2 linked regions of the Struthio camelus genome follow. The protein of the gene in region 1 binds, or shares a complex with, the protein of each later gene. Links are inferred from orthologs where the notes say so. Each region holds a gene or a part of one and is shown on either strand. Other genes may lie near its edges. The genes, in order: CELF1 and CALR.

Evidence for each region.
Region 2: CELF1 (region 1) and CALR share a complex: the UniProt entries of both Homo sapiens proteins name them as parts of the EIF2 complex. The link is inferred for Struthio camelus from reciprocal best matches to the Homo sapiens genes CELF1 and CALR.

Annotation. Positions count from the first base shown.
Region 1 is NC_090946.1:39,024,277-39,032,407, forward strand, and holds the start of CELF1 (CUGBP Elav-like family member 1), read left to right. Parts: upstream 1-4,531; 5' UTR 4,532-4,619; intron 4,620-5,349; 5' UTR 5,350-5,671; intron 5,672-7,377; 5' UTR 7,378-7,461; coding exon 7,462-7,500; intron 7,501-7,646; coding exon 7,647-7,714; intron 7,715-8,131. Other genes in the region: KBTBD4 (kelch repeat and BTB domain-containing protein 4), read left to right, coding at 1-573; PTPMT1 (phosphatidylglycerophosphatase and protein-tyrosine phosphatase 1), read right to left, coding at 1,666-1,806, 3,065-3,256, 3,886-3,966, 4,057-4,227. UniProt on the Homo sapiens protein: RNA-binding protein implicated in the regulation of several post-transcriptional events. Involved in pre-mRNA alternative splicing, mRNA translation and stability.
Region 2 is NC_090972.1:4,289,531-4,298,143, forward strand, and holds the start of CALR (calreticulin), read left to right. Parts: upstream 1-5,368; 5' UTR 5,369-5,468; coding exon 5,469-5,565; intron 5,566-8,249; coding exon 8,250-8,351; intron 8,352-8,613. Other genes in the region: FARSA (phenylalanine--tRNA ligase alpha subunit), read right to left, coding at 83-160, 252-420, 524-623, 709-793, 887-1,002, 1,094-1,222, 1,328-1,420, 1,502-1,620 and 3 more. UniProt on the Homo sapiens protein: Calcium-binding chaperone that promotes folding, oligomeric assembly and quality control in the endoplasmic reticulum (ER) via the calreticulin/calnexin cycle.

The sequences.
Region 1 (8,131 bases):
AAGGATGCTATATATTCACTGGGGGGGAAAACTCTGCAGGACACTCTCTCTAATGCTGTCATATATTACAGAGTACGAGACAATGTATGGACAGAGACCAGCCAGTTGGAAGTGGCCGTATCGGGGGCTGCAGGTGTAAACCTTAACGGTGTCATTTACCTGCTGGGAGGGGAAGAGAATGACTTGGACTTCTTCACCAAGCCCTCTCGGCTTATTCAGTGCTATGATACCAACACAGAGAAATGCCACGTGAAGCCATATGTGCTACCTTTTGCAGGGCGCATGCATGCTGCTGTACACAAGGATGTGGTGTTTATTGTAGCTGAGGGGGATTCCCTGCTATGCTATAATCCCTTACTGGATAGCTTCACCCGGCTCTGCCTGCCAGATGCCTGGAGCTCAGTACCATCCCTCTGGAAAATTGCCAGCTGCAATGGCAGCATCTACGTCTTTCGAGACCGCTATAAAAAGGGTGATGCAAATACTTTTAAACTTAACCCAGCCACCTCTGTTGTAACAGTCACAAGTGGTATCAAAGTGCTGCTCACTAACCTGCAATTTGTCCTGGCCTAAGAGGGAAAAACAGGCCCAGTGGTAGAAAGGGCAGCAAAGATGTTCTGCAGTGCACCTCAGAGGCACCAAATACTCTCAGCACCAGTTCCAATTACTACGAGCTCACAACATCCAGTAAACAGCCCGTCCTCTATGTCTGCGCAGAGGAAGTACCAGCCATCTGGCTGTGGGCCTATTCTCTTACTTAGCACTATTAAAGTTGAACTGCTACATCTTAGGTTTCAGATGGACTAAACGCTATTACTGTGATCTCTTGATAATAAGCTGCTTGTGTTTGAGGCCAAAGCTGCAGCAAGTGGCTTTTTTAGCCTGGAACTATCAAACCAATAACAAATCCTATAGCATATGGACAACCTCCTTTGTGGCCTGGACGGCTGGTTTTAACTGTCTGGGAGACTGCATTGCTGCCGTTGCCAGTCATGAAGAGTAGATGCGCTGTGCCTGTCCTCCAGGGAAGTCCCCATTTAAACATTCCTGTGTCCCTGTAGCAGCTGGTGGGACTGGCAATTACATTTACAGTGGACAGATGCCAGGGCTGAGCCCAAACCTTGAGTGGGTTGTATGCTTCAGCACTTCTCCTAGAGGAGTGGTAACAAACTGGGAACTTGCTTTCTGCTGTATTGTCACCAAGCATAAAGAGGGAGATGATTCTTAAGAGCATTGGCTTTCCTGTCTGTACAGGGAATCCGAACCTGTAATCAAAACATAGTGTTGGTGAAAGATGGAATTAAGTCCACTTCCTTCTACCCCTCTCTGACACTGTAACCCTTTGGGTAAGAAAGTGAATAAAGTCTCTGCTGAGACACAGTTCTATTTTCCTTTGCTGCAATTACAGAGCATTATGTGGATGGCAGTTTGGCTCTGCACTGATGTTGCGTGTGGGAAAGAACTATTGGGCTTTAAAAGAAATAAGAGACTAGCCATAAGGAGAGACACTTTAATGAAACAGCCCAACCTGCCCTTCAAAGTAGCGCATTGTAAAAACTTGTTTATTGATGGCCAAGAAATACAATACTTAAACCTTCATTATTTCATTAAGATCCAAGGGGTTTTTTTTTTTTAGGAGCTGAGACTCTGAGATCTTTATGGTTCTTACTGATGCTTTGCCGTTGTCCCAGCAATTATGTTCCTGTGAAATGCCTCCAGGACCTGGACCTGTTTGTGCCGAATGAGGATGTGGGGACGGATCTTGGCAATAGCCTCTATTGCTTCCTGAGGGCTCCAGTGATGCAGCTGAAAAGGGAGAAACACTGCATGTGAAAATCCGTTCTATCCCTGCACTGGTTAATGGAGCCTTCACGGAGGATACAGACAACATGAGAGTTCAGTTAGAAAACCTGCTCCTTTTGTCCCTCCCATTTTATTCATCTTCTCTCAGAGGGGCCTGAAAGTCAATGCAAATTCATGAAATGAGTCCCTCAGCTAAAGAAAAACATTTGCTGTTTAGGACTTGCATGTTCTATCTCACTCATGCTTCCATGATGTAAGTAGTTTCCTGTCCTAGTCCCACCAGACTGGAGGAAAAGGTGGGTAAAGAGGTAAAGAGTACTAGTACTACCCCCGCTCTAGCACTTTAGGGCATTACTAAGGGAAGATTTCCCAGGGTGTATTTAAGAACTCCAACAGAAGGATCCCACAGGTGGGATCGTGTTTTCAGGGCTAGCTTGCACAGTTGGATATGTAGAGGAACTCGGGAAAACCAAAGTTACTTCTCATGATCCTGAATTATATTTTGAGGTGCTCACCACTTCAGGTAAATAGGAAAAAAAAAAGGAAGTTTAGCTGCTCAGTGAATCTACCCTCATGTGAGTGACTTGTTATTCCCAACTCAATCTGTTCCTCCCTAAAAAGAATTATGAACAGCAGAATCATTCAAAACCGCATCAGAACATGCTGTATTAGTGGCTCAGTAAATTGAACAGCTTCTTGAAGTCTGAGTCATCTGCCAGAACCAGCAACAGATACTGTGAGAGTGCACGTTTCAAAGCTTCTTCTCAACGGCAATTTCTGTCCCATAACATGAAACATCTTTGCCAGTGTCTGTGCTAATAACTGAGCTGTCAGAGGCAGACTGTACAGATGAATGAAAAGACTACTTACAGTGGAGGCTCCATTGCAACTTCACCACTACCTCACTGCCAGAAGGCATTAACTGGTCAGTAACATAAAGGCAAACGAACAAAGTGTGCAAAGATAAGCTACATTGTCAAAGGAAGTTTAGACTGCTGTTCAGCCAATACAAGTTTCGTTTGTTCCTTTAGCTTGTATTAGTCATCTGCAAAACAGACAGCAACAGATGTAGGGCCTAGCTACCTACCTCTCTTCAAATGGGTCTCCAGTCCAAACTTGGTAAAACCATGGCCTATTTATGCAATTGTACACACTCGGGTTTCTTGAGCAGAATCAAATTGTAGAGGCTGGGCCATCTCTGAGCACTTTACTTGCCCAGAGGGTATAACATAAACCCGATTTAGTACAGAACCCTTCTTACTTGAATTAAATATGCTGCCACCATGGTGGCACTGCGGGAGCGTCCTGCCTTGCAGTGCACATAAACACTGTTACCACGTTCTCGGTGTTTCAGTATGAATTCGACACCCTTGTGGAGGTTTTGCAAGGTGGGAACTCCAGTTAGATCCACAGTGCTGAGACGCAGTTGCTCTACTCCCATTGCCTCCCATTCCTGAAATAAGCATGGTAGATTCAATTAGCCAAGGGTTTTTTTTTTCCCCCCAGAAAGAAAAACACGATCCCTGTGAAGACATTTGGGAAATATAGCAATGTTGTAAGCAGCCTTTGCAATGTTAATCCTTTAAATCAGAAATACAGAAAAAATACAGAAAGCTTTAGTGCTGGTTATCAGCAAGAAGAAGTTAAAGGGAACTGAAGGAAAACTGAGGAGATGTGGTTCAGCTAAAGGAAAGGAGGCGAGGTGGGTTCTCAGCCTGGAAAAAAAAGGCATTCTGGCATTTGCACAACAGCACGTGTACAATTAACGCTCCCCTTCTCCCCACCGCTGTAGCTCTAGTCTTGTTCTTGCATCCTCACGTTTCATCGTCCGGTCACACAGTTTAAGAACTTGGCTTACGTCTGAAGAAGCCAAGTCTCTCTGCTGTTAAGAGGCCGTAACAGTTGCCGCCAGGGATCCCAACGGGGAGCAGCGTGAGGGCAGGCAGCAGCGCTGAATCCTCACCTACCCCAGGGCGAGCAGGAGGGGGAGCGGCGGAGGGCGCTGGGCACCGCCGCACGCCCGGCCCGGCCCGGCCCGGCCCGGCCCGCGGGCAGCCGCCCAACGGCCGCCGCGGCGCTCACCTGCGCGGAGCAGCAGAGCAGGCGGGTCTCGTACTCCTCGTTGAGGGTGAGCACGGCGCGCACGTTCTCCTCCGCCACCAGCTGCGGGCACAAGCACCGTCAGGCGCCGGCTCGGCTCGGCCCGGCCCGGCCCGGCCCGGCCCGGCCCGGCCCGCCGCGGCCCCGCCTTACCCTGCGGCTGCGCCCCCGCAGCGGCAGCGCCCCCAGCAGCACGACGCCGTCGATGCGGTGGAACCAGGGCCGGCCGGACCCGGGCAGCCGCGCCCGCACCGCCGTGTACAGCAGCGTCGGGTAGAAGAGCAGCCGCGCCGCGCCGGCGCCCAGCGCCACCGCCAGCCCCATCGCGGGCCGCGCCGCAGGGGCGGGGGAGCGCCGCGGACGAGCGCACCGCGCGCGAGGCGCCGGGGGAAGCGCGCGCGCGAGCGCGGCCGTAGCGCGGGGCGGCCCCGCCCCGGCGGCGGGGGAGGAGCGCGGCGGCGGCGGCGGCGGCGGCCCGGCCCCTGCCCTCGGGCCCGCCGTGGTCTCTCCCGGAAGCGCCGCCATCTTGCGAAGCCGGCCTGAGGCGGCGCAGGGAGCTGAGCGGGGCGCGGGTGGATCCGCGGGGCAGGTGAGGGCGGCGGCCGCCAGGAGGAGCTCGGCCGGGCCGGGCAGGGCAGGGCAGGGCAGGGACGGCGCGGCGCGGCGCGGCGCGGAGCCGAGCGGAGCCCGCGGGGAGCGCGACCCGCCTAGCGCAGGTAACGGGTCTCCTCCGGCCGCCAGGCCGCCCCGCGCCGGGACCCTGCAGGCGGCCGCCGCGCCGCGCCTCGCTTCGCCGCGCTGCGCTGTGCCGTGCCGTGGGGGGCTCGGGCCCGCGGGAGCCCCGCGCCGCCGCCGCCCGGGGGGAGGCGGCCGCCCAGCCCGGGGCCCGGAACCGGAGGCGGCCGGTTGCCGTCTGGCATCCGGGCGCTGACAGCGCCTCGGGCGCCGCCCGGCCTCGGGCCGCAGGGCGGCGGCGGGGGGCGCTGCAGGTGCGAGCGCGGCCCGCGGCGGGTGCGGGGAGGGCAGGGGAGCGCCGGACCGGGCCGCGGGAGACGGGCAGCCCCCGGGGGCGGCGGCGGCCGGAGCAGCGCGGAGCGGCAGAGGCCGGGGTGATCGCGGGGATGCGGCTGGATGGCGCCGGGTGGCACCCCGCGGGCCTGTCTTTTGGGCAGGGGACACCAGGAAACGCACCTCTGCGGCACTTGGGGTTTGCGAAGGGGTGGAGGCAGGTCTGGGTAGGAGAAGCAAAAGGCAGAGAGCTCGACTTCACCACAGCGTAGGAATTTGCAGTCTCAGGCGTGAGGAGGAGCGGCAAACGCTACTGGGGTGAAGTAGAAAGTAAAATAGCACAATGTAAAGAAAGAAGGGAGACTAAACATAAATTTAACGATAAGTGCATAAAGAAGAAATACGAATTGATAACAGCATGAGTTTTTTTTTTTATAGGAAGATTGCTGAATAGGAAGTTCAGAGGCAGTATTAACTGTGGAACCTTCCCTCCTTTAAATTCCTGAGGAATCGCAGCCCAGACGTTTTCACCTTTAAGGCACAGACAGACATTCTCCTCTGCCAGAAGTTGTCAGGGAGCATTTTTCAAATGTTGCAGCTTTCTTGTGTTGTACTGCTTCAGTGTGGTCAGTGGGTGTGTTTCACCAGGAGCTCACCTGATGCAGAAAAATACTTGGCTGGAATTTGAATCTTGAAATGTGCTTTGCTTCTGGTCTACAAGAGCTAGGACTTTCTGAGTGTCTTGCAAAGTTCATGGTTTGTATGTGTCTCCAGGCTTGACTCTTAGAATTAGTGATTACAATAACTGCCAGATTCTCTCATGGAGTCTTTAGTTGCCTTTCCTATTGCTTTTCTATAGATGAGTTTATCAGATAGCTTTTATTGCACTGGCCTGGCATTGTGTATCCATAATAAACTCACCCTTCCCCTCCCCCTGCCAGCTCTGTTCTGAGGAGTTGAGTATAATGTCAGATATTGTTTAAAAATATTACTTATCTGTTTACCATTGTGATAGGAATCATCCAGGTGGGTACAGCTTGTATCCTGCAACTTAATGTTTCCAGTTGCATCTCTCCTGGTGAAGAGTGCTCTGGGTAGCAGCATGATTCTTATATCTGCCCGGGGACATAGGTGCACGTATATGCACCAGTACAACTATTCCCAAAGTGGGGATTTTAAAATATGATGATGTCAGTGGTTTTGTTTGTTTGTTTTTTTAAAGAAGCTTGCCATTCCCCTTCAGCCTGTGCTAACCTTCGAAATTCTTGCTGATATTTATTCTGGGAAGTTATATGCTGTTTTGTGGAATAGATTTACCTTTTCTGAATGATAACCCTGCGATGGGCATATTTTTCCCTTCCTGTCCAATTTTCTACTGTTATATTGGAGAAAATGCAGTCCCAGATCCTGCCTTCTCAGTTTTGTGCTTGAGCTTATGCATCTGGGTATGCTTTGTAAGTAAAATAATCTAGTAAATGCAGGACTGGGAACTTGTTTATCTTGGGAACTTTACATACCTAAGAAAGGAGGAACATAATGTCTGTAGAAAGAAGTTTTAATATTGTCTTAGTTGAAAAGTAGTTATTACAAAGTCATGAACGCTAAGAACACCAAGATTTGTATGTTAAGTATGTTCTTTTGAAAGTGTATGGCCTACAATAACCAAAGGACCTAACTGTCTTTCAAAATGGGGATATGGTAAAGAATGCCACGGTAGTACCTTGTACTTATTACTGTATCCACATTTTCTTGCTACTTCTTTAAAACTAGATGCAGTGGTCAGATTATCATTACATGGTGGGGGAAGGGGTCTTTAAGTATTGTTTCTTTTTGCTGAGAGTAGGAATTCTGAAGGTACGTGTTGCCTAGCGCTACTCCTCTAAAGGGAAAAGCAAGAAAAGTGACTGTATCGTAGATATGGAGTAATTGTATACCTTATAATAAATCTGTAATTTGCAAGGTCCCTTGCAAGAAGCCTTTACGTAATTTCTGTCTCACCTCATGATTATTCAATTTATCGCTGCATAGCATAAAATTTAAGAGAAATATTTTTTTAATGCTGTGTAATTTTTCTTTTGAAATTACAGGAAACAATACTATGCTCATCAGTAGAAGGTCATAAAAATTAGATGTTTATGTGGTTCTTGAAAATATTTTACAATTGCATTCAGTAAATAAAATATGACCTGTAATCTAGTCTTTAACTGAAATTAGTAAAAAAAAAAAAAAAAAAAAAAAAAAATTTGTTATGAGCAGGTTATTCCTTACCATTTCTTGCACCTTTTTCTGAAATGTGGGCATTGATCATCAGTTACTACATTTATTCTTAATTTCATCTGTCTGTCTTTTGGCTCTTCTATCGCAAATCTTTTCAGAGGGCCTACTCTAAATAAAAATTATTTTAGTGTTTTTTAGGTTGCTTGCCAAACTGCATAGGAAGTAACATAAATTCTCTTTCTTTTTGAGGTTTCCCAGTTGTTAATTTCTAAATCTGATAATCTAAGAAGAACCCATTCTTCTGGCTCTTGAACTAGAGACTGCTGTACAGTGATGATGTCCGTGAAACAGTCCGGGTTTCCAAGTGGTAATGTGAGATTTGCTAGTGAAACAGCAGCTGTAATCCAACAAACTCAGAAGATTTATACTTCTGGGTCCTTATTTTATCAGTCTTGCCATATATATCATAATGTTTTATATCAATCTAAACATTTTCAATATTGCTTCTTGTCTTTTAGTTTGCCATTCACCAAGCCTATGTGCAGAACTATGTTTGTTGCCTTGGTAACTGCCCTCAGGCAGGAAGGTATCATTTTTATCCATTGATCAATTATTTGGTGGGAAGAAAATCCAACATAAAGCAGAGTAAAATAGTTAAGGGTATATTGGAATGGGAGTTTTAAATTGAGAAAAGTTGTCTAGGCTTTATAATAATTTCTCTTGAAGTAACCTAACAAAAGATCGTGAATTGTGATTCCATCACAAGACTTATTGAGATGAGAGATTACCTTCACTGAAAAAGGTAGTCAGGGGTTTTAATACCCTTCCTCCTGTTGTTAGAGATGGTTGTTTTGCATGGAAAAATGCAGGATAGAACCTTTTCTGCTATTGCTGTCTCATCTATTTTAGATTGTCCTACCAGGAGACTTTGTATTTGGGGGCATTGTAGTGAAAAGAGAGAACTTCAGCATTCCCATTTTCATGAGGAGATTCCCAAATGTGA
Region 2 (8,613 bases), on another chromosome or scaffold:
CCCCCACCTCCCGAGGCAGAGGGCGAAGCCAGGCCCCCCACCCCCCGGGGGGGCCCCCAGCCCCCCCCCCCCCCAATCTCACCACTGTGGTAGCTGAACACCTCCATGCTGGGCTCCGTGTAGGGGTTGTAGGCGGGCTTGAAGCGCAGCTGCGTGATACCTGCGGGGGGGGGGGGGGGGGGGGCAAACGGGGGCGGTGAGGGGGTGCCAGAGGGGGCCCCCCCGCCCCAGGGCGCCCCCCCCCCCCTCACCCAGCTTGAGGAAGAACTGCTTGAGGACGCCCATGAGGTGGCCCAGGGTGAGGCCGTGGTCGGCCACGACGCCCTCGATCTGGTGGAACTCGGCCAGGTGGGTGGCGTCCAGGCTCTCGTTGCGGAAAACCCGGTCGATGGAGAAGTACTTCACCGGCGTGAACTTCTCCTGCGGCGGGGGGGCGGGGGCACCCCCACAAGTAAACACGGCAGAACGAGATGAGAGGGCCCCCCCCCACCCCCCCGCCCCGCTCCCCAAAACGGGCGCCCACCTGGCGGGCCAGGCGGTAGAGCATGCGGGCGCTGACGGCCGTGGTGTGCGTCCGCAGCAGGTTCTTCCGCGCCTCCTCCACCTTCCAGTCGTACTTGTAGCTGCCGGGGGGGGGGGCTCGGCTGAGCTGGGGAGGGGGGGGCCCGTGGTGTCCCCCCCCCCGCACCCACGGGTGCCGCCCCTCACCCCTGCGAGCCGTAGCCTCCTTGCGAGTGCACTTTCTTCACTTTAGCCACGTAGCCGGCGGGGAGCTCGGGGGCTTCGGCGGGGTCTGGGGACACACACGCATCGCGGGGGGGGGGGGGTCGTTAGCGTGGGGAGGGGGGCGTTTAGACCCCCCCCCCCCACCGCCGTGGGCACCCACCCTGCAGGAAGAAGGTGTCGTGCTGGTCGCGAGCCGGGTGCTGCTGGGGCTGGAAGAGGGCGTCGAAGTTCCAGAAGGAGCTCTCCACAAAGTTGTTGGTGGGCATCTCCACGAACCTGGGGGGGGGGGTGCGGCCGCCGCGTCAGCCCCCTCCCCACCCCCGCGCGGGGGCCCAGGCGTCCTGCCCGCCCCCGCCCCGCCACTCACCCCATCTCCAGGAAGATCTGGCGGAACTGGGAGCGCACCTTGAGCAGGGGGTGGAGGTGGCCGCAGGCGGGCGGCAGCCCCAGCGCCGCGAAGTTGTAGGCCTTGAAGGGCCGCTGCCGCCAGGAGCCCCTGCGGGGGGGGGGGGGGGTGCAGCAGCAGGGCTCGAGGCGGGGGGGCCCACGGGTGCCCCCCAGGGTGAGGGGGTCCGCGGAGCCCCCCCCCTGCGGCACTCACGTGGCGATCATCTCCGGCGTCAGCTCCGTCTCCTGGCGGGCCACGGCCGTGCTGAAGGCGCTGCCCTTGCGCAGCCAGTAGGACTTGAGGGTGCTGGGGGTGGCGGGCGGGGTGGGGGGGTCAGCGGGGGTCTATGTGTGTGTCCCCCCCCCACCCCGGCCCCCCCCCGCTCACACTTCCAGCAGCAGCTTCCTCTTCTTGAGCTCGGCGCGGTCGCGCTCGGGCAGGCTGGCGGCCTCCCCCCGCTGCACCCGCCGCAGGCTGTCCCGCACGGCGTCCTGCACCGCCGCCACCTGCGGGGACGGGACCCCGCCGGGGGGGGGGACACGCGGGACGGGGCGCCGTCATGGGGTGGGGGGGGAGCCCGGGGCAGAGCCTCTTGGTGCGAGGACGGGGGGGGGTGACAGACTGCAAGACGGGCTGAGGGATTTTGAGGACCAGGGAGATGCTGCAAGGAGGACAGGGACCCTCGGGGACGGGGACAGCCCTGGGATGGGGGACACGCGGGGACGGGGACAGCCCTGGGATGGGGGACACGTGGGGACGGGGACCCTCGGGGACGGGGACAGCCCTGGGATGGGGGACACGTGGGGACGGGGACAGCCCCGGGATGGGGGACACGTGGGGACGGGGACCCTCGGGGACGGGGACAGCCCCGGGATGGGGAACATGCGGGGACGGGGACAGCCCCGGGATGGGGGACACGTGGGGACAGGGACCCTCGGGGACGGGGACAGCCCCGGGATGGGGGACCCTCGGGGACGGGGACAGCCCCGGGATGGGGGACACGCGGGGACGGGGACCCTCGGGGACGGGGACAGCCCTGGGATGGGGGACACGTGGGGACGGGGACAGCCCCGGGATGGGGGACACGTGGGGACGGGGACCCTCGGGGACGGGGACAGCCCCGGGATGGGGGACACGTGGGGACGGGGACCCTCGGGGACGGGGACAGCCCCGGGATGGGGGACACGTGGGGACGGGGACCCTCGGGGACGGGGACAGCCCCGGGATGGGGGACACGTGGGGACGGGGACCCTCGGGGACGGGGACAGCCCCGGGATGGGGGACACGTGGGGACGGGGACCCTCGGGGACGGGGACAGCCCCGGGATGGGGGACACGTGGGGACGGGGACAGCCCCGGGATGGGGGACACGTGGGGACGGGGACCCTCGGGGACGGGGACAGCCCCGGGATGGGGAACATGCGGGGACGGGGACAGCCCCGGGATGGGGGACACGTGGGGACAGGGACCCTCGGGGACGGGGACAGCCCCGGGATGGGGGACCCTCGGGGACGGGGACCCTCGGGGACGGGGACAGCCCCGGGACGGGGGACCCGCGGGGACGGGGACAGCCCCGGGACGGCAGTGGGGGACCCTCGGGGACGAGGAGAGGGGACCCTTGGGATGGGCTCAGCCAGGGGACCCTCGGGACCAGGAACAGCCAGGGACGGGGGACCCTCAGGGACAGCCCTGGGATGGTGACAGGGGACCCCTGGGGATGGGGGGGCGCTCAGGGACGGGGACAGCTCCGGGACCGGGGACCCTTGGGGACAGGCTCAGCCTAGGGACAGCAACAGGATGGGGACAGCGACCCTCAGGGACAGGCACAGCCCTGGGACAGTGACGGGGGACCCCTGGGGACAGGGGAGCTGCAGAACAGCTCGCTCCAGGGACAGGGGACCCTCAGGGACAGGGGACCCGCAGAACAGCTAGCTCCAGGGACACAGGACCCTCGGGGACAGTGACAGGGGACCCTCGGGGACAGGGGACCCGCAGAACAGCTAGCTCCAGGGACACAGGACCCTCGGGGACAGTGACAGGGGACCCTCGGGGACAGGGGACCCGCAGAACAGCTTGCTCCAGGGACAGAGGACCCTCGGGGACAGTGACAGGGGACCCTCGGGGACAGGGGACCCACAGAACAGCTAGCTCCAGGGACAGAGGACCCTCGGGGACAGTGACAGGGGACCCTTGGGGACAGGGGACCTGCAGAACAGCTCGCTCCAGGGACAGAGGACCCTCGGGGACAGTGACAGGAGACCCTCGGGGACAGGGGACCCTCGGGGGCAGGCTCAGCCTGGGGATGAAGGACCCTCAGGGACAGGCTCAGCCTGAGCGTGGGGACACAGCACCCTCGGGGACAGGGGACCCTGGGGAAGGGCTCAGTCCAGGGATGGAGGACCCTCAGAGACGGTGACAGGGGATCCCTGGGGTCAGCAGACCCCCGGGGACGGGCTCAGCCTTGGGGACGGGGGATGGGGGCCCTCAGGGACAGGGGACCCCCGGGGACAGGCTCAGCCTTAGGGACGGGGGCCCTCGAGGACAGGGGACCCCCGGGGACAGGCTCAGCCTTGGGGACGGGGGACGGGGGCCCTCGGGGACAGGGAGACCCCCGGGGACGGGCTCAGCCTTGGGGACAGGGGACGGGGGCCCTCGGGGACAGGGAGACCCCCGGGGACGGGCTCAGCCTTGGGGACAGGGGCCCTCGGGGACAGGGAGACCCCCGGGGACGGGCTCAGCCTTGGGGACAGGGGCCCTCGGGGACAGGGAGACCCCCGGGGACGGGCTCAGCCTCGGGGACGGGGGACCCCCGGGGACAGGGGACCCCCGGGGACGGGCTCAGCCTTGGGGACGGGGGACCCCCGGGGACAGGGAGACCCCCCCCCACCACTCCCCTCTCCCCCCCCTTCCCCAAACTCACGGCGCGGAAGACGCGGGGGCCGCCGGGCGCCTCCTTGTCCAGCCGCACCCACTTGTTGGCCATGGCCTTGCTGAAGCCCACCTTGGCGCCGGGCAGCTTCTGCGGGCGGCAGCGGCCGGCTGCAGCCCGGGGTCCGCCGGGCCCCCCCCCGCGGGCCCCCCCCCCCGGTGCCGGTGCTCACCATGAGCTCGCTGTGCGGCAGCCCCTCGCCGGGCAGGCTCTCGAAGACGCGCACCTCGTGGCTGCCGTCCCGCGCCACCGCCTCGCCCTCGGCGCTCAGCTCCCAGCGGGTGGCGGCCCGCGGCTCCGCCTCGATCACCTGCGGCGGCACCGGGCGGCCCTGAGCGGCGGCGGCGGCACCGCCACCGCCGCCGCTACCGGCCGCCCTTACCGCCGCCGCACCTCGCCCAGCGCCTGGAGACTCTTGACGGCGCCCACCAGCGTCTGGTGGTCGAGGCCGAGCTCGGCGGCCGCCTCCAGGCTGCAGAGACCCCCGCCCGGCCCGGGCCCCGGCGCCTCCCGCTCCAGCCGCCGCAGCAGCAGCTCGGCCACACCGGGCGACATGGCGGCGCCCGCCGGAAGGACTCCCTCCGCGCGACCCGGAAGTGCTCCTGAGGGGGAAAGGGGGCGTGCCCGGTGTGGGCGTGCCCGCTGACCTGCTCAGCGCCGCCATCTTGAGAGTGGCGCGGGCGCCATCTTGAGTGTGGCAAGAAGCCCCGAAGCGGCCGATGCGGGGAGGGGGAAGGGGCTGCTGGCGATAGGAAGGCAGCCGAGTGCCGCGGCCGAGTGACGTGTTCGGACGTCAGCGTGACGTCATCAGGCACTAGGCCCAGCCCCCCTCCCCAGCAACCAGCCTCACCCACAGTTTGCTGCACTGAAGTCAGTTGCTGTAACGGCAGGCTTATTCCCCACCCTATGACCGTTGCCATAGCAACATGCCTGGGTTCCCCCCCCGACCTTGATCCCCCTCTCCCCCTTCCTGCTGCTATTATGGGATGGCGAGCGCCTGCTCCCACGTGCTCCGCAGCAGCCTGGCCCTTTAAGAGCGTCCGGGCCCCACGTGACCCCGAGAGCGAGCGACGCAGCGCGCGGAGGGAGGGCAGGAGCGCGGGGGGAGGGGGGGGCGTCTCCCCCCGAACGCGTGGTCGCTCCTCATTGGCCCCCGCGCTCAGCCAATGGGAAGCGGCCATCTGGGACGCCAACGTTCGGGGGAGCCGCCGAAGCCGGCGAGCGGGCGAGGGGCCAATGGGAGCGAGCCCCTCACGAGCTCGGGCCAATGGGGAGCGGGCAGGGGCGGGCCCAGCTGCCGCGGCCATATAAATGCGGGCGTCGCCGCCGCCCCCCTCCGCAGTGTCTGGGTGCCGCCGGGCCGGGCAGGGCCGAATGTCTTAAAGGGCCAGGCGCCTCCGCCGCACTGTGTGGGACCCCCGGCGACATGAGCCCCCTGGGTCTCCCCCTTCTGCTCGGCGCCCTCCTGGGGCTGGTGGCGGCGGGGCCCACCCAGTACTTCCGGGAGGAGTTCGGGGATGGAGGTGAGGGGGGAGCCCCACCGCTGGGGGTGGGGGGCCCTAGGCAGGATGTGGGGCTGCGTCTGAAGGGCCCCAGGCGTCTTCTCTGGGCTGGGGGGGGGCTGCGATGGGGGTCGGGGGGAGAGGGGATGTCTTGGGGTGTCATGAGGGCCTAGGGGCTCATGGGGGGGGCTGCCGGGTTGGGTTGGGGGTCCTGGGGCAGCTGTGGGGCCTGCGAGGTCTTCCCCTGGCCTAGGGGTACAGGAGGGATGCGGGGGGCTGTAGGCCTGGTCTGGGGGTCTTGGGGTAGGTGCAGGGCCTGAGGGGTCTGTCCTCAGCTGGGGCTGGGAGGGGTGAGGGTCTGAGGAAGGCTGTAGGGGTCTTTTGGGGGCTGAGTCTACCTTGAGGTAGGGTTGGGGGTGCTGGGGAAGGGGGGACCTGAGAGGTCTTTTGAGGGCTTGGGGTGGGAGGGATGAGGGTCACAGGATGGATATAGGGAGCTGAGAGGCCTGGTCTGGGCATGAGGGTCGTGGGAAGGACATCTGTGTCTGCCCTGAGCTAGGGCTGGGGGTCCTGGGGAAGGAGTGAGGGGCTGCAAGGTGTCTGGGAAGGGATGGAGGCCTTGTGGGGGGCCTAAGGCCTCCCTGGGGCTGGGGGTCCTGGGGAAGGAGTGAGGGGCTGCAAGGTGTCTGGGAAGGGCTGGAGGCCTTGGTGGGGGGGGGGGGGCCTAAGGCCTCCCTGGGGCTGGGGGTCCTGGGGAAGGAGTGAGGGGCTGCAAGGTGTCTGGGAAGGGCTGGAGGCCTTGGTGGGGGGGGGGGGCCTAAGGCCTCCCTGGGGCTGGGGGTCCTGGGGAAGGAGTGAGGGGCTGCAAGGTGTCTGGGAAGGGCTGGAGGCCTTGGTGGGGGGCCTAAGGCCTCCCTGGGGCTGGGGGTCCTGGGGAAGGAGTGAGGGGCTGCAAGGTGTCTGGGAAGGGCTGGAGGCCTTGGTGGGGGGCCTAAGGCCTCCCTGGGGCTGGGGGTCCTGGGGAAGGAGTGAGGGGCTGCAAGGTGTCTGGGAAGGGCTGGAGGCCTTGGTGGGGGGCCTAAGGCCTCCCTGGGGCTGGGGGTCCTGGGGAAGGAGTGAGGGGCTGCAAGGTGTCTGGGAAGGGCTGGAGGCCTTGGTGGGGGGCCTAAGGCCTCCCTGGGGCTGGGGGTCCTGGGGAAGGAGTGAGGGGCTGCAAGGTGTCTGGGAAGGGCTGGAGGCCTTGGTGGGGGGCCTAAGGCCTCCCTGGGGCTGGGGGTCCTGGGGAAGGAGTGAGGGGCTGCAAGGTGTCTGGGAAGGGCTGGAGGCCTTGGTGGGGGGCCTAAGGCCTCCCTGGGGCTGGGGGTCCTGGGGAAGGAGTGAGGGGCTGCAAGGTGTCTGGGAAGGGCTGGAGGCCTTGATGGGGGGGGCCTAAGGCCTCCCTGGGGCTGGGGGTCCTGGGGAAGGAGTGAGGGGCTGCAAGGTGTCTGGGAAGGGATGGAGGCCTTGGTGGGGGGGGCCTAAGGCCTCCCTGGGGCTGGGGGTCCTGGGGAAGGAGTGAGGGGCTGCAAGGTGTCTGGGAAGGGCTGGAGGCCTTGATGGGGGGCCTAAGGCCTCCCTGGGGCTGGGGGTCCTGGGGAAGGAGTGAGGGGCTGCAAGGTGTCTGGGAAGGGCTGGAGGCCTTGGTGGGGGGGGCATAAGGCTCCCTGGGCCTGGGGGTCCTGGGGAAGGAGTGAGGGGCTGCAAGGTGTCTGGGAAGGGCTGGAGGCCTTGGTGGGGGGGGGCATAAGGCTCCCTGGGCCTGGGGGTCCTGGGGAAGACACCGGAGCCTGAGAGGCCTCTGGGAAGGGGTAAGGCTTTGGGGGGGCTGCGGGGGCTGTGAGGCCTCCCCTAGAGCTGGGGGGAACAAAAGGCCTTTGGATGGGGCTGTTGAGGGCAGAGCTGTCCCCTTCTCCCCCCACCCCGGAGCCGGAGGGGGGGGACAGCAGGGCTTTCGGTGGGATGTTCCCCCACAGGGTGGGGGGGAGGCAGGACAGGAGCTGGCTCCCGTTGTGGTTTATCGGCCCCGAGTCCTGCTGCGGCGGCGGCGGCGCTGCGACAGCCGAGCCCACCCCACCGCGGAGACCTTCCCCGGCAGCTCCGGCCTCCCGCCAGGGCGCCGGGGAGGGGGACGCAGGGGGCCGTCACGGGTGCTGCCGTGCCTCACGGGCGCAGGTGGGCGGCCTGTATCGAAGGGCTCCTCCGGAGTGTGACGGATCCCGGCCGGGCCGTGCAGGTGGCAGGAAGCCGGCCTGTTCCCCGTTCAGCTCTAGGGGCGCGTTCAATCCCCGGCCGCTGCGGGCAGAGCGCCGGGCCGGAGGGGACGCGGGGACGAGCCCGGCGCCGAGGCCCGTTCCCCCCGCCCCGGTCTCCCCGAGCGGGGTTGGAGCCGTCCTGCTTCCCTCTTCCCTCCGCGAACGCTGCCTAGCCCTGAAGCCGCCGCGTTTCGGCTGCCCGGCTCCACCGCGGAGGCGGCTGCCTCCACAGCGACCCTTCCCTGGGTGGGGGGGAGCCCTCGGTGCCGAGGGAGACCCCCCCCGGCAGCGGCCAGCGCTCGGTCGGGTTTCGGCTCTTACGGGCTGTTCCCGCCTTTAGGGGGAAACCCGGGGTCACGCGGGGCCGCGCCGAGCGCGGGCCGGCGCCTCCCTGACCCTCTGCCCTCTCCGCAGATGCCTGGAGCAGCCGGTGGGTGGAATCCAAGCACAAGTCGGACTACGGCAAGTTCATCCTCACGGCCGGCAAGTTCTACGGCGACGCCGAGAAGGATAAAGGTGAGGTGCCGGCTGCTGGCCGGCCTCCCCGGAGATAAGGACCTTTCCCTCCGCCTGTCGCTCAAGGGTAGTTAATGCTTAACGAGCTTGGTGGGTCCGTGGGAGCGCGGGGGTGCTGACGGCGCTCCGGGCCCCGCGTAGGGGGGTTGTGTTGTGCCGCGGGCTGGATGGAGCGGGGCGGCTTCAGGAGGGGAGCCGGCGAGGGCATCGGGGGAGTTTCGGGGGGGGCGAGGGAGGGTTGAGCAGCCCTAACGGCCCCCGC